Linked DNA regions of Caenorhabditis elegans. The protein of the gene in region 2 interacts with the protein of the main gene of each other region in a pairwise test. Each region holds a gene or a part of one and is shown on either strand. Other genes may lie near its edges.

Region 1 (7,772 bases), on a different chromosome or scaffold from region 2:
TCAAAAGTCTACACCAAATGAGGCGTCAAACTTATGCAAACCAAATACTTCTGGTCAGTCAACTGTAAGCATTGGAAGGTCGCCGTGTGTCGAAGAAAGCAGAAAATGAAGGTTATGAAAGTCAAAATTTCTATTAAAAAAGGTTGTTGCGGGTTGTAACGGGGTCCGGACTATTCCGTAAATGGGAAACGCCGGCGAAATGCAAAGAAGAAATCATGAGCCACTTTCAGGTTGGCTGCGGAGAGAACTAGATGGAACATGTGAAAGTGCGAACACAAATACAATGGGTGCAGCCTGGCAAGGCAAGTGTTCAAGAAACTCTCTGGATTAGGCTTCTCTTTTTGCTGCTTCCTCAGAGACCTCTGACCGGTATTGCAATGTTGCCTTGGCGCGCGCCCGCCAGGGGGTCGGCCGTCGAATGGCAATCATATCACTTAAAGGAGGAGGAAGGGGCAGGCCTCCCCGCTCAATATGCGGACGAAGAGGGAAAGCGATGGAATGTATTCACTTTTCAAACAAAACGAAGAAGACGCCGACTATGAAGCTTCTTCTCCTTTCTTCTGTGATGATGATGTGTCTTTTACTTCTGCATAAAACACTGCGCTATACACACACACACATACACATAGCACATGTAAATTGGAATAGACGTAGACATACGCTATCAATTGACTTGTTTCTTTTATTTGAGTGATGGCCAAAGCTTCTCTGATCTGACGTGCCCCATTCATCTAAATCGCACCATAATTCATCGCAGACTGACTGGTATTAGCAAACGACACCATTCGTCCGTTGCGCCAAACACTCTCTTTGAAGGTAAATGGCATCGGGATGGAAATGATGTGAGGGATCAGAATTAGAATTTTTAGGTGAAGCCGTCAATTCAAGATTGACATTGGGTAATGGAAATTGAGAGAACATGTGGAAGGTCAAATTTGAAATGATGGAGAAATCGGGTGAAGATATCTGGCGCTCCAGGTGACAGAAATCGACAGCAGGATGAGGAGATTGATATATTTCGAATTGGCCTTGAGATTTCGAAAACTTGCCCTACTAATTCACGACTAATTTCTCTATGAGAAAGCGGTAAATGACGGAATGAAAGTCAGTGATCGTGTGTTAACAGTGAAATAGATATTGACTTTGATCAGGTCTACCAGAATTGCAAAGAGTTTGAACAATGTGCACCGAGCTTGGAAGTGAGAAGATCAAATCTACAAATTTGACGAACAACATAAATCAAAACACAAATCAGTGAACACTCACGAAAAGAGATAACTGAAGTCTGCAAAAAAGAGAAAAAAGAAGAAGCTTATTTGCATCGCCTCCTGCTGCGCTGAAGGCATTTTTAAACCAGTCACTCTGCCTCGAAATCGTCTCGTCATCGTCGTCAACCTCATCAACCTCGAATACTCTTATATGACTGATAAAAAACAGAAAAATTACCGCCACTGATTAATTGGCTTGTCGTCGCTCTCTCACGCACCTTTCGCAAGTCGTCGCCGCTCTAAAAATCTCGTTTCGACTGTAAACCGATATCTTCGTCGTTTTTTCAATGACATGATTTCTTCTCAATTCGCGTACTATTAACTCGTTGAAAACGAAAACTATTTGGTGGATTTTGATGGTGTTACACACACACACACATAACAACACATAGTTGCAGCCTGAAAACGATACACAAAGAGGGAAGAAGATCCTCTTTGAATTGCCACTTCTGAGGACATATCACTATCACCTCATCAACAGTGAAAATGAACTGCTTTTGTGTTGTTTGTTTGGGCGCCGCCGCGAAGTTTAGAAGCAAGAAGACAAAACATGCAGCAAAGTTTGGAAATTAAATCATACCGATGGTTTCGGTGGCACCGGGGGTCCTTTCGATCCAGGAACTGGTGGTGGTGCTCCATTCGAAGTCGTCGGATTCGTCGTCGTCGTCGCCACTGCCGATGCGGTTTTGCTTCGTTGCGGAAGAACTGGCGGTTGAGGCGGGAACGGAGATCGTGGATGCAGTTTTGGAGTCTCTCCGGTGAATGTTTTCAGTTGTGGAGCACTTTCTGAAAAAAAAATCGAATTATTGCAAAGATTTATGTGTATGTTCACTTACCACTATATGGAACTGGAGCTGGAGACGGAACGTTATTCCTTTCCGATAATGAGAGAGATGTGTCGGTAGACGACGCCGTGGAAAGATGATTATTTCCATTTGTCAGTGGACGAGCAGAAGAAGATGAAGCTGACACTGATGTAGATGGGGAAGTTGCGGAACCTGCAAAGATACGCGGATTTTAGGGATGGAAAATGCAAAAGATTTCAAAAAAAAAAGAAGTTTCTTGCAGATTTACAAAATTTCCGGCAAATCGGTAAACCGTCAAATTGCCGGAATTGTAAATTTTCAATTCCGGCAATTTGACGTTTTACCGATTTGCCAGAAATTTTGAATTACTGCGCTTTGCCGGTTTGCCGGAAATTTACAATTCCGGCAATTTGACGGTTTACCAATTTGCCGGAAATTTTGTAAATCTGCAATAAAAATTTGTGCTCGGTCCTTAACATATAACTGATTTCGCATGGTGTCAGAGTGTCCCATGTCGGTTTGATCTACGTAGATCTACAAAAAATGCGGGAGTTGAGACGCAAAGTTCACAGGAACGTGCTGACGTCACATTTGTTGGGCGAGAAAATTCCCGCATTTATTGTAGATCAAACCGTAATGGGACAGCCTGACACCACGATCATTCTTGCCATATTTTAGGTGTTTTAACTATTGGTTTGAACCAAAATCAGAAAAAACAAGGGCCTTTAGCTGCCAAAATAGGAAAATAATCCTATTTTTACAGCTGCATCACAGAAAAGTTTGCAAAATTGTAGATTTGGGCAAAAATGAGATTTTCATGAGATAAAACAGAGATTTGATGGCAGTTTATAACAATTTCTTACAAAATTGGCTCATTATATTCAAAATGTTCAATTTTCACAACTATTCTATGTCTCAGTCGCCGGAAATTGACATTTATCTGATTTTTGTCATTTTTTTTTTTTTTTTTAATTTTTTAACGATTGGTTTGAACCAAAATCACCGAAAAAAAAGTGATTTAAGCTGCCAAAATTCGCAAAATAAGAAAAAAAAATACCGTTAATTTCGTGCAACTGCAATACAAAAAAAGTTTGCGAAATTGTTTTTGTCAATTTAGAAGTCACAATTTGAGAATTTTCTCTATTTTCCACTAAATCTCACCATTACTACACTGCAAATTCCTCAAATGTTCCGTGACTTGTCCGGTCAACTGAACGTCCACATCATCGTCATCGCTATTCGTGAAAACACTATTCGTCGTCATGAATTTCGTCTTCTCGTTCTCCTTCATTGATTGTGCGTAGAACTTCAACGCAGTCACCACCGCGTTCGGATCCTTCTTCTGATCGGCAAGACTGAAATAGCTTTGAGAATTTGTTAATGGGAACCGAGAACCGGGGGACACGGGGCGTCTTATTTCGGCTTGATCTACGTAGATCTACAAAAAATGCGGGAGAAGGGACGCAGAGTTCTCAACTGACGTCACATTTTCCAGGGCAAAAAATTCCCGCATTTTTTGTAGATCAAACCGTCATGGGACAGCCTGACGCCACGTGGGGATGGGATGCTTTACCTAATGTCTCGGAGAAGAATATCCATCCATGGTTGCGGCAGTCCGCTGAACTTCTGGCCGTCGTATCCAACGTGGACTCTGCAAATATTTGGGGTTTGTTGGAGAATATTAGAAAAAAAAACCGTACCGATGCACTGTGTTATATGGCTGACTAATATCCATTGCGGACGAGGATGGCTTCATCTCATCGTCTCGATCCTTGTCTTTATCGCTGGGAGAGAAGATTCGCCCGATGAAATTCCGTATTCGCACCTGCAAAATGAACACATATTCACAAAAATCGTTTTTTTTTCTAGAATCTCACCTTGGAACTTTTTGAAGTTGACATGGTTAATGATTAGAATGCGTCGTAAGCGACACGGTTGTCAGACCCGATGTTAAGGTAAATCTGAAATTTAATAAAAAAAGTTGAAATTATTATTAAGGATATGAGGTAATTATTTTCGGTAGTGCCAAAATATAGAAAAATAGAAAATACATTTAATTTCAATTCAAAAAATTTTTAAAAAATAAATAAAAGTAAGTTTTCAGCATTTTCGAACTAAAAGAAATGTTATTTTCAAATAAATCAATTAATTTAACACCAAATTTTAATGGAAAAAAATTGGGCCAACATTAAATTCCTGAGTGGAACTTAAAATTACTAATAGTTGAGGGTGGGCAAAGATTAAAAAAAAAGAGAAAAGAAAAAAATATGGACATAAAGATGACGGGTCATACGGGTAGAGCGGGAAAATGATAGCGAGGGATCACAAAGTGCGAAGACACACAGACACACAAAAGACGACGGTGAGTCATATAGTCTTCCTGCCGGGTTGAGAGAGAGCTCCCGCACAACACAAACATCTTGATTGAATCATAGTTATACAAGAATAAGTGACAGTGGGGAGTATATGGGGGTTCCCGTTAGAAACCTGCCCTTTTCTGGGAAGCAAGCGCGGTTTTTTTTTTGTTGGAAAAGGTGGGCAGTTCAACGGGGAAATAGATTTTTCTTTCAATTGTCAATAAAATCAAAACACTTGCAAAAAATCAGTGGGTGTATTTCCTTTGATGTCCGAAAATCGCAAAAAAATCGCGCCTGGCCTCGACACGAAAAGTGTTACGAAAAATGCAGAAAGGTGTGCGCCTTTAAAGAGTACTGTAGTTTCAAGTTTTTGTTGCTATGGGATTTAAATCGGTTTTTCATAGCTTTTTCGATGAAATTATATTTATTCTTTCAAAAAACTTGAATAAAACAATAAAAATACAGGTAGTTTAGTAAATCTTGAGAATAACTATTCAAATCCCGCTGTAACAAAAAAGATTTTGCTGAACAGTTCATTCCACTAGACAAAAAGCAGTAAATTTTGCAACTATATCATCTTTGATAACTTTTTCTCGCGGCGTGCCGGGCCGGCATGAACCCTATTTCAAACAAAGTAAATGCCAACTGATTGCCGACGATGAATCTCTCAAATATTTGCACTCGAGGCGACGATTTCTTTATTTCGCTACAGTTTTTTCATAATCATTCATCTTGAAGAGATTTTCTATCTCAAAATAATATCTGACCAAAACTCAAGAGTTTAGCGTTAGAAGTATATAAAAGTTATTATTAGAAAAACTGCGAGAAAAAAAGTTAAAACCTAACTTTTGCACACAAAGCCGGAAAAAAATGGAGCATGAGAGCAAATAAGGGAGCGCGAGTAGGTAAAAAGCACTGAATCTACCACGAAGTCCCAACTGACATTTAATATTGAGTGGTAGGCACGAAAGGCAAAATCTACTGCTTTGCATTTATTATGATTCGCCGTTTTGTGTGTGTCGCTTCTTTCATTCATTTTTGTTTCTGTTTTTTGTGCTATTCAACACAAAAAAGGAGAAATTGAGAAAGAGGAAGTTTTTTTTTCCGGTAGATAGGAAAATCGGCAAATTTCAGGATTTGAAATTTCCGGCAAACCGATAAATTGCCGGAATCGAAACTTCCGGCAAATAGGCAAATTTCCGGCGAATCGGTAATTGCTGGAATATAAATTTTGGGCAAATCTGCAAATTGCTGGAATTGAAATTTCCGGCACATCGGTAAATTTCAGGATTTGAAATTTCCAACAAATAGGCAAATAGTCGGAATTGAAACTTTCGACAAATAGGCAAATTTCAGGATTTGAAATTTCAGGCAAATCGGTAATTTGCCGGAATCGAAACATTCGACAAATAGGCAAGTTTCCGGCAAATCGGAAAATTTCAGGATTTGAAATTTCCGGCAAATCGGTAAATTTCCGACAAATCGGTAAATTGCTGGAATTGAAAATTTCCGGCAAATCGGTAAATTGCCGGATTTGAAGTTTCCGGCAAATGGATAAATTGCCGGAATTAAATTTTCGGAAAATCGAAATTGGAAATTTCCGGCAAATCGGCAAATTGCCGGAATTAAAAATTTCCGGCAAATCAGTAAACCGTCAAATTGTTGTAATTAAACATTTCCGGCAAATCGGTAAATTGCCGGAATTGAAAATTTCCGGCAAACTGGTAAATTGCCGGAGTTGAAAATTTCCGGCAAATTGGTAAATTGCTGGAATCGAACATTTCCGGCAAATCGGCAAATTGCCGGAATTAAAAATTTCCGGCAAATCGGTAAATTGCCGGATTTGAAATTTCCGGCAAATGGATAAATTGCCGGAATTAAATTTTCGGAAAATCGAAATTGAAAATTTCCGGCAAATCGGCAAATTGCCGGAATTAAAAATTTCCGGCAAATCAGTAAACCGTCAAATTGTTGTAATTAAACATTTCCGGCAAATCGGTAAATTGCCGGAATTGAAAATTTCCGGCAAACTGGTAAATTGCCGGAGTTGAAAATTTCCGGCAAATTGGTAAATTGCTGGAATCGAACATTTCCGGCAAATCGGCAAATTGCCGGAATTAAAAATTTCCGGCAAATCGGTAAAACGTCAAATTGCCAGAATTTTAGATTTTCGGCAAATCGGCAAATTGCCAGAATTGAAAATTTCCGAAAAATCGATCATGTGCCGGAATTGATAATTTCTGGCAAACCGGCAAATTTCCGGCAAATCGCCGCATTTGTCGGCAAAAAATTTGCCGAACGGCAATTGCCGCGCACCCCTTGGAATAAATGTAAAGTCGATGACTTTCTGAAGAAGGGGACTGCCGGACGGACCAAGGACAAAGACGAGAAGAGAGCGGAATGAGGCCATATTTCAAGAGGGTTAGTGGGGAGCCCATTGAGCAGTCAGCCTATGCCGTTCCAATTTTATACATTTATACGTATATCACTCATTCTGGGAATTGGAAAATCCTAGACAGACGAATTCTTGACATTAGATTCGAACAATGATAATGTAATATTGAATAGGAAGAAATTTTGAGGAAAATACTCTAGAAAAGAATGACTTCTTGGCGAGACAAAAACAAACGGAATAAAAACAACCTTTTTGACTGAAAAATTGTCGGGCTCACAGACGGAAATTCACTTCCGCCCCATTGAAATTCACTTCCGCCCCATCCTGAGCTTGAAAGGTGACGTTAGTTTTTACAAAAGAAAGAAGAAGAAAAAACAGAGGAAAACCTCCAAGCAAACGAAAATAAAAGAGAATAACTTTGTCTACTGCTAACCCTAACTTGATGAGAAGCACGCAAAAACTTGTTTGCGAGCCATCCTCGAGTAGCATTGGGCCTTCGTAAAAACCATAAAACCCCGTCGCCTAATTTCTCTTGCGGCGCCCCCAACGGAAATTAGGCTTGATTTCGTACGAGCTCACAGTTTGATGATGATGGTGTGAACTGAACAAAACCGGTAGGAACTGATGGAAGATGAGAGAGAAACAAAACACTTGTCTCGGAGTGCGAGACGAATAAGAGACGGCGCCCCCCACACACACATACCGGGAAACGATAAGCAACTCACACTGTTGTGTATGAGAGTATCGATTGAAGACAGTTGAGACATGGAGAAGACGTCAAGCAAAAATTGACCGCAAGAAGGCGTAGTAATGAGTCAGTGGAAGATGGGAATAAGAAGAGAAGGACACGACGAAGTTCTTGCGAAATCAATCTTCGTGGCGGTTCGCACCTCGAGCCTCGTCGGGTGTCTCCTTTTTTATAAATGGCAGGACAGGGTCTAGATCG
Region 2 (8,678 bases):
CAGTACTACTGAAGAATCCAATGAGGAAGGCGATGCAGATGGGTGTTTGAAGAAAAAAGCAAAGAATGAAACGACAATTATTAGTAAGTTGCCGAAAAAATCGGCAAATTTCTGCTTCTGGCCTTCTACTTATCACAGAATTGGTCTAAAAATGCCGAATTGCCGAAAACGAATTCTTGTGCCACTGTTTGGCAGTTTTCTGTAATTTTCGGCAACTTTCGACACATTTCGGCGATTTGCTCTTACGTCACTGTTGTCAAAGTACCCAGTTTCTGGGATTTTTCGACAAATTTTGCAAATTTTCAAAACCCCTCAACAATATTCGGCAATTTCCGGCAATTTTATACAATTTTAGGCGACTAGCCCATAACTCTGACGTCACTGTTTTCAAGTTACCGAGTTGCCGGAATTTTCGGCAATTTTCGACAACTGGGGTCCTAGTGAACCAGTGTTAAGCAATTTTTTCCAGCCTGGACACCCGGAGCAGCTCTATTCAACTCGTCGCTGAGCCCCACCACCACATCGATTCCGACAACTCCGGCTCCGCCACTGAACTTTATCTGTCATCAGAATCCGTTTTATGCATACAACCCGTATAGGAATTTAAATACCGTAAGATTTTGTAGTTTGTAGCTTCTGTAGTTTGCAGTATGTAATTAAAATTTTATCAATACTCAAAAATTTCTTTTTTTTTTTTCAAAATTTCAGCTACTCGGAAAATCCAAAATTTCAACAATTTTGAAACCTTGTCAATTAGTTATCACTTCTTAGTTATCGCTTCACTCCAAAACGCATAAACTCATAACAATAGGCATAGGCAGGCATGTAGGCAGGGGAACAAACTTTTTTTTTTAAGTTTTCGAATATTTGCTTACCTACTTACAACAAGATTAGCCTAATCTCTCTTCCCATCACCCAAAATAGTTACAGTACCTGGGGGGGGGGGGGGGGGGGGTAACCTGATATTCAGATTAGGTACTTGTATTAGGTGGCTCGGAGTACAAGATTAAGCCGCCCAAGTAAGTGGGGAGTAAAACAAATATTTTTTAGAGTTTTTGCAGATTCCTACACATTTGCTGGCGGCCACGACGACGGCGGCATCGATAGGCAGTGCCAAATTGGTGGCAAATGTTGGAAGTAATATTATTTCTTGAGTTGTGTTTTGTTTTTGTAAGTATATTATTAATTAGAAATTGAATTGGAATAATGAATTTTAATTTTTTAAAAAAAACTTTTTTCTGAGAATAATTTTCGAAAATTTAAATTTCTGAGTTTTTTGAAACTTTTTTTTCTAAATTGTTAATTGGCCTCCAAGTTTGCCCCTGATTTCGAATATTTATGTGAAAAAATTCAAAAAAATTTCCCTGATTTTAAATTTCAGCTAAAGATCGAGTTTCATTTGTGCACCCATGACCTTTTCAAATGTGTGCTCAAAGAAATTCACATTGGAGCACGCTTGCTTCATCTCGATTTCCGGGAGCTAAGCAAGCGCACTCCAATGATAATTTTTTGGCGCGCATTTGAAAAAACTCATGGGGACGCAAAGTGATTTCAAGCTCAAATATAAAATCAGAGAATTTTTTTTCGAAATCAGGGGTTTGTACTTGTTTGAAAATATTTTCCAAATTTCGGTACTCCACCTTTAAACAGCTGCCAATTTTATTATTATTATTTTCTCATAGTTTCTCAAGTGCAGGTGAATTATCGCACCCCATTTCTACTCACTTTTTTTTTCAAAACCCGAGTAGAAATCAATGAACGACACCAAAATTTCAAATAACTCCGATAACATATATTTCGAAAGCATAGGAGCTGAATTTGACCTTATATCATATGCTTTTTTATTAATTAACTTAATTATATTTCCATTCTACAAGTATCTCTATGAAATCAATAGAGACCGGGACAAGAAGGTAATGGGGTTATTCAAGTAATGTCGGAAAATTAAAAAGTGTAGAAAAATTACGTCACAACTGTATTCAAGTATATAAAAACATGTATCTAAATACATTTTGCTACATTACTTGAATAACCCCATAAGTGATTTTCTGAAAATTAGTGGAAAATTTTTTGGTAGATGCTGCTCTTCCCAACAGTTCAACATTTTTACGAAATGGTGCAGCTAGCGTATTTCCTGTTTGTTTTCTCGATTATTCTCCATACGTTGCTACATGTAATTCACGAAATGTACTGTTTCAGTTTTAAAAAAACCATTTTTTAAAGAATTTTCTGATTTCCAGTGTAATAATTCGCTTTCTAATCGTTGTGATCTTTTATGCATTGTGTTTTACCATGTATCATCTTACAAAGGCATTTTATCTTACCACGTTTTTCCTGGCATTCCAACAATTTCTGGTTTTCTATTTCCCAAAACTGGAGAAGCAAGTTTCAATTATCCAGAAACACTTTTTCAAGGACGTTTGGTATTTATATATCATATTTTTAATAACAGAAGCGATACTATGGGTTCTATCAAATGGAAGCACAGCGGCTGAGGCAAAGTTTGACACATTTTCCAGTGTACGTTTAATGGAACTTTGACACCTGAAAACTATTCAGAATCATCAGATAAATTTAATTTCCCGCCAAATTATTTTCTCATAAAATCTAAAATTTCCAAGAAAAAAACTTTCAAAACCTTTTTTTACCTTTTCCGCCAAATTTGATTAGAACTTTTGAATTTCCCGCTGTAGATTAATTCAGAATATTTGGATTTCCCGCCAAAAATTGTTATATTTTCATTCAGAGTAAAATTTTTTGTAGAAAATTTAAATTTCGCGCCAAAGATTTTTCAGTAAAATTTTTTAAATTTCTTGTCAAGCTTTCTATCAGAAAAGTTGCATTTCCAACAAAAATAGTATCACAAGAAATTGGTATCTTCCACAAAAAATTTATATCTGAAAATTTGAATTTCCGCATAAACTTTTCTTTGAAAATTCTGACTGTCCCGTCAATCCGATATTACATAATTGACTATTTTAGGCAACCATCATTATTCCGTATGTCTTACAACTGTTTTCAACACTATTTTATATTCCGATCATGAGAAGCGTTAGAAAAAATGCTTACGTAACCTCTGGTCATTATTATATTCTGCAAAAGTACATTTTCTGGCAGGCAGTCACTGCGCTAATATTTGAATCGGTATTTAGTTCGATGTAATTCAATTTTATTTTTTGAACCAGTTTTCAGTTCCCAATCATATTTAGCACTATCCAGTTGTTACATGGTTCTTGTGGGTGCTCTTTTGTGGTAATCGCTACCTTAGTGAGTACTCTTATAACTCCGTTGACTATTCAAGTTCCGTATTTGGGAAGCAGAAAATGGATTGGAGATTCATCGGAAAAAATCAGTTTGAAAAGATTTATCAAAGTGATTTTGGGGATCAAGAGTTTCAGCGTCAACCCACACATTAACGATCAATGAACACACACACGTGCTTGCTGGGTGGCCAATGCCCGGGGACTAGAAAACTCCTAGAAATCTAGGTTTTCTAGGCCACCGAGAAAACAAAAGTTCGGAAATTTTTTAGGATTTTTTTCATTCATTTCTGTGTCCGATTAACAAATGTAAAAAAACTCAGAATCTGAAATTTTTGATCGAAAGTTTCAGAAAAATCTGTAATCTCTGCAACTTTTCGAATTGTTTTTTTTTCCAATTTTTCCATCAAAAAATGTTCAAATTTAAAATTCCATCATAGAAAAAAAGTGTGGTAAAATATCATATCATCATATTAAAATAGCATAATAAAAGTTGGACAAAAAGAAGAGAAATTAACAATTAAAGTAAGAAAAAAGGGAAAAAGAGCCGAGTTTGTTGTTCAAATTCACAATAGAAAAAAGAGGATTTTTGGTTGTGGAGAGAGGGTTCGTTGTGTCCTAAAAATTACAAAAAAAAATCGAAAGTTTTTGAAAAAAAGTTTCAGAAAAATTCCAAATAATTTTTCAAACAAATTCCAAAAAGTTTGAACATTTTTTAGAAAAAATCGTAGAGATTTCCAAACATTTTCAGATTTTTCGAAGAAATTTCACAAAAATTTCGAAGAAATTTCAAATAAAAAAAATAAACCGATAAAAATTAGAGAGGAAAAAGCACTTGTGGTTTTTGGGGAAAAGTTATTCAATTTTTCAGATGAAAAAAGACCTATTTCAGGTGGGAAAAGGGGAAAAGCACAAAATTATGAATGGACAAATTGAGCATTTTTCGGCTCAAAAATGAGCACAAAATATGCTGAAAATTGGGGTGGATAAGTAAGAAAAGTATCACAGCGAGTTTAAGATGAAAAATCGTTGATACAAAACAAATTTTTAGAGATAAAAATAGAGGGGGAAAATGAGAAAAAGTGTGCTGGAAATTCAGATTTAGAGAGTGGAAACGCCCAGATTTTGGACAATTTTCTGGAAAAAAATCGAGAAATTTTCGGCTGAAATTGAGCTTTTTCAGTGGAAATTTGGCCGATTTTCGGTTAAAAAAAATAGTAATTTTCAGCCGATTTGGAGCATTTCTTTGAACGGAAATCGGCGAGTTTTTTGCCTAAAAATGCTCAGTTTTTGCCAATTTTTACTCCCTAAAAACCGGTAATTTCACAGCAAAATTCATCGATAAAACAAAAAAAATCCAGATGATATATGTATATATATAGTTAAAATTGTTGTAGTTTCTGCGATTGTTTGCTCCAATTTCCCCATCTTAGAGCACCGTACACTTGCTCTTTTTGGCTCTTTGTGGCGGCGTGAGCACGGCTCGGATCGCCTCATCGAAAACTTGTTTCAGACCACGTTGCGTGAGCGCCGAGCACTCCAGATACTTGACAGCCTTGATTTCCTTTGCCATCACGTAGCCCTGGGTTTGGCTCACTGGTTGGAGCCGGCGTTCGCGGAGCCTGCAAAAAAAATTTTTTTTTTCGGAATTTTTGCAAGTTTTCTCGATTTTAAGCCAATTTTGTTTAATGTGCTTTTTTTCAAAATTTCAAACTTTTGTCCACAATTTATGCGAATTTAGTGCAACTTTTTACATTTCTTTAGCGATTTATCTTAATTTTAATTTTTTTTTCAACATTTTGAGCAAATTTCTCAAAATCTTGCAAATTTTTTTCCAAAATTTTATGTGAATGTTGTGCTATTTTACGCAACTTTTCATACAATTTTTGCAATTTTTTTTCCTGAAATTGATGCGTTTTTTCCTTATTTCTCATTTTTTTGCCGTTTCTAATGATTTTTCTAATGTTTTGGCGGTATTCCTTCAATTTTTAAGTGATTTTCTGAATTTTTATGCGCTTTTTCGAATTTTTTGGCAATTTTTCATCATTTTCTACAAATTTTTCACTTTATTCCTCAATTTTTCTCTCAAATTCTCCAAAAATCTACCGTTCAACAGTATCTCGATCCTCACGCAGATCAGCTTTCGTTCCAACCAAAATAATCGGCGTATTCGGGCAATGATGTGACACTTCTGGATACCATTTCGCACGAACATTCTCAAAACTCGCCGGATTGTTCAGGGCAAAGCATACGAGAAACACGTCTGTTTGTGGATATGACAGTGGTCGGAGTCTGCAAATTTTTTTGGTGTTGAAAAATTGATAATTGGGGTAATTTTTAGTGCAAAGTGCGAAAAATTCCATGTTTTTCGAGTTTTTCACCACAAAATAGCTTCAAAATCACTGTCATTTTATGAAAAATTGGATGAAATTTTCTAAAATGTGATATTTTCCACATTTTGATTGAGGAAAATATCACATAATCCTGAGCAATTTTTTATTGAAAAAACCCATAATCCTGAGTTTTTTCGAGCATTTTCAGTTTTCCCGCTGCCCGTACCGATCGTAATCTTCCTGTCCAGCTGTATCCCAGAGCCCGAGATTTATCGGCCGACCGTCGACCATCACATTTGCTGAGTAGTTGTCGAATACCTGGAAAAAATTTGAATTTATGGGAAAAAAGCATTTTTTTGGGAAAAAGAAGACACCTTTCATATTTTTTGCGGGAAATTGTGCGCTTTTCAAAATTTTCAATTTTTTTGTTGCAAAAAGCCTACAATTTTATTGCATTTTTAAAAGTTTTTTGAATCAAAATTTTCTAGATTTTCCGTTTAAAAAAACTGAAGTTTTTTGAAATTTTCGACATTTTTTTTTCAAATAAAAATACCAATTTTTATATGAAATTTCACCATTTTCCCAGCTTTTGGTATAAAAAATATTAATTTATTGATTTTTATGGGAACAAGTTGACAATTTTCATATTTTTCAGCAAAATTTCGCTAAAAATGTGTTTCTTAAAACGATTTTTGCAGAAAACTTTTTTATCGCATTTTGAAAAGTTTTTTGTCTAGATTTTCCGTAAAAAACGGAAGTTTTAATTTTCATACTTTTCAGTGAAATTTCACTTATTTTTTTGATTAAAAAAATGTACTTTTTAAAACGATTTTTAGCAAAAAAAATTTAATTTAAATTATTTTTTATTTAAATGTTTTATAAATCAAAATGTTCACGATTTTCAGTATTGATAATTTCACTATTTTTCCCAGTTTTTGGCCTAAAAAAATATTTATTTCAATGATTTTTGGATCAAAATACAACAATTTTGAATATTTTTTGCCTAAATTTCTTTGTTTTTTTTTTTCGATTTTGTGTCAAAATGTCCTATTTTCTGAGCCAAAAAACGTAATTTTATCTCAATTTTTGCTTTAAAAATGACTCACCGTCGGAATATATTCTCCGGGAAATGCGTTTGTGGTGTAGGATATCAGGAGACACGTTTTACCGACGGCTCCGTCACCAACGACGACACATTTGATCGCTTGCATTTGTGGGGAGCTCCGCGAGCACAAGCACAAAAAGCTGGAAAAATTGGCTTAAAAATAGCAACAAAAAAAATCTATCAAAAATATTGAAAAACCGCCAAAAATCACGGTATTTTGAGCGAAAAAATCAGAAAAAAATGGGGGGAAAAATCACATTTAAATTAAAATTTTTGTACAAAAAATAAATGAACAAAAAACCTGAAAAAGTCATCGAATTTCGAGAGAAAAGCGAGCTTTTCCCCCGGGAAAAATGGGGAAATGGGTGCAAAATTGGATATTTTAAATGGGGAAAAATCTAGAAAATTGTGTCTATAAAACGGAAAAAAAGAGAGAGAGAGAGAGAACAAACCAAATCACAACGGGCATCAAGACGGAGAGAAAGGGAGTATTAGAGAAAAATGGCGGCAATGGGAGAAATTTTGAAATGAGAAGATGGAAAAATGAGTGAAAACCGTAATTTTTTTGACAAAAAAGTCACTGAAATTCGTCGTAATTTACATGTTTCGGCTGGAAAATCGTCAAAAAAAGAAAGCTTTTTTCGAGGTAATTTTCAATAGAAGCTCCATCATTTTTAACGGGAATTATTGAAATTTACAATTTTCGGCTGAAATTAGAAGATTTAAGTGAATTTTTAACGGAAAAACATGTAAAAAACTTGAAAAATCACGGAAAAGCACCGAAATTTTGATGTTAAACAATTTTTCATCAGGAAAATAAATGAAATATGGAATTTTTAGCTAAAATCGTTTTAAAAAAATGCATTTTTCTCGATTTCTCAGCAATAATTTTAAGTTTTTCGTCAGAAAATCGCTGAAATTCCCACTTTTTATTGAAAAAAGTATTTTTCATCCAAAAATCGAGAATTTTATCGAATTTTTAGCATTTTTATGGACAATTTTTCACGATTTTCCAGTTTTGGTCAAAAAATTAGCAATTTTTTCTCAAAAATTTCCACGATTTTCAATCCAAATTTTATTTAAATTTTAAATAGGAAGACCAGCAGTTCGTCGACATTTCTGCATTGTTGCTCGGTAGATAAATTGCTCTCGGGACACGTCACGAACATGGCGGAGGTATTCGGCAAGTGTTATTTGGCGTTTTTTCAGTGATTGACCTGAAATTTTGAAGATTAGGCAAAAAAAAAATTTCTCATAAATACCATAATTTTTTTTCGTTTTTTTTTTTGCTGGATTTCGGAAAAATTTTTACACCGAAAATTTGCTGAAATTCCAATTTTCAGTCATTTTCAATAATTTTTCTATCAAATTTCCGCAAAAAAAAAACACTTTTGCTAAAATAAAACCGAAACTGATTTTTGAACGATTTCAACAAAATTTTGGAGTAAAAATGGCTGAAAATTGTTCAGAAACTTCCAATTTTTTGTAGTTTTTGTGAATTTTCTAGAATTTAAAGTCAATTTTAACTAATTTCTGTTTTTTTTCGGGGGTTTTTGAATGATTTGTAGTAGTGCTAATAGACGAAATCGTTGAAAAATTTCAGAAAAACGCTTTTAATTTGGCTTCAAATCTCTCAGAAACTTCGAAAAATCTCAACTTTAATTTAATTTTTTTGAAACATTTTCACTAGTTTTTCTTAATTTTCAACTTCTGCATTTTTTGAAAACAATTTTTGCACATTTTCCTCAGGATTGAGCAATTCCAGCTAGATTTTTCCAATTTTTCCCAACTTTTCGTTCCATACCAAGTGAATAAATGACGTCATCACATGTCAAATCTTTCGCATAATTGAGCACAATTTGTCGGTGCAACGGAAAAGCGGCATCAATTGCCTCATCAATTGGTGGAGCATCAGTGCCTCCAGCGTCTGAAAGAGCTTTCGCGAGCTCTGCTTTCTTTGCCGTATAGATTTCACAGGCG

What was found. Proteins that work in one complex are often made in the same cells at the same time.
Region 1: the proteins of ced-10 (region 2) and max-2 interact in a two-hybrid assay, tested with the Caenorhabditis elegans proteins (one study listed by BioGRID).

The regions. Positions count from the first base shown.
Region 1 is NC_003280.10:13,021,804-13,029,575, forward strand, and holds the start of max-2 (non-specific serine/threonine protein kinase), read right to left. Parts: upstream 4,036-7,772; 5' UTR 3,976-4,035; coding exon 3,952-3,975; intron 3,900-3,951; coding exon 3,775-3,899; intron 3,726-3,774; coding exon 3,648-3,725; intron 3,439-3,647; coding exon 3,236-3,438; intron 2,267-3,235; coding exon 2,105-2,266; intron 2,055-2,104; coding exon 1,849-2,054; intron 1-1,848. UniProt on the Caenorhabditis elegans protein: Serine/threonine-protein kinase, which phosphorylates mlk-1. Involved in the stress response to heavy metals by activating the mlk-1/mek-1/kgb-1 pathway.
Region 2 is NC_003282.8:3,502,690-3,511,367, forward strand, and holds ced-10 (Ras-related protein ced-10), read right to left. Parts: upstream 6,839-8,678; 5' UTR 6,805-6,838; coding exon 6,700-6,804; intron 6,420-6,699; exon of another isoform or gene 6,270-6,419; intron 5,912-6,269; coding exon 5,820-5,911; intron 5,553-5,819; coding exon 5,367-5,552; intron 4,883-5,366; coding exon 4,690-4,882; 3' UTR 3,639-4,689; downstream 1-3,638. Other genes in the region: ceh-53 (Homeobox domain-containing protein), read left to right, coding at 1-83, 470-612, 1,062-1,154; srz-83 (Serpentine Receptor, class Z), read left to right, coding at 1,755-1,913, 2,078-2,187, 2,241-2,520, 2,983-3,144, 3,193-3,426; tsg-101 (Tumor susceptibility gene 101 protein), read right to left, coding at 7,785-7,915, 8,503-8,678. UniProt on the Caenorhabditis elegans protein: Required in engulfing to control the phagocytosis of apoptotic cell corpses. Required in embryonic development for the correct positioning and orientation of the mitotic spindles and division planes in blastomere cells.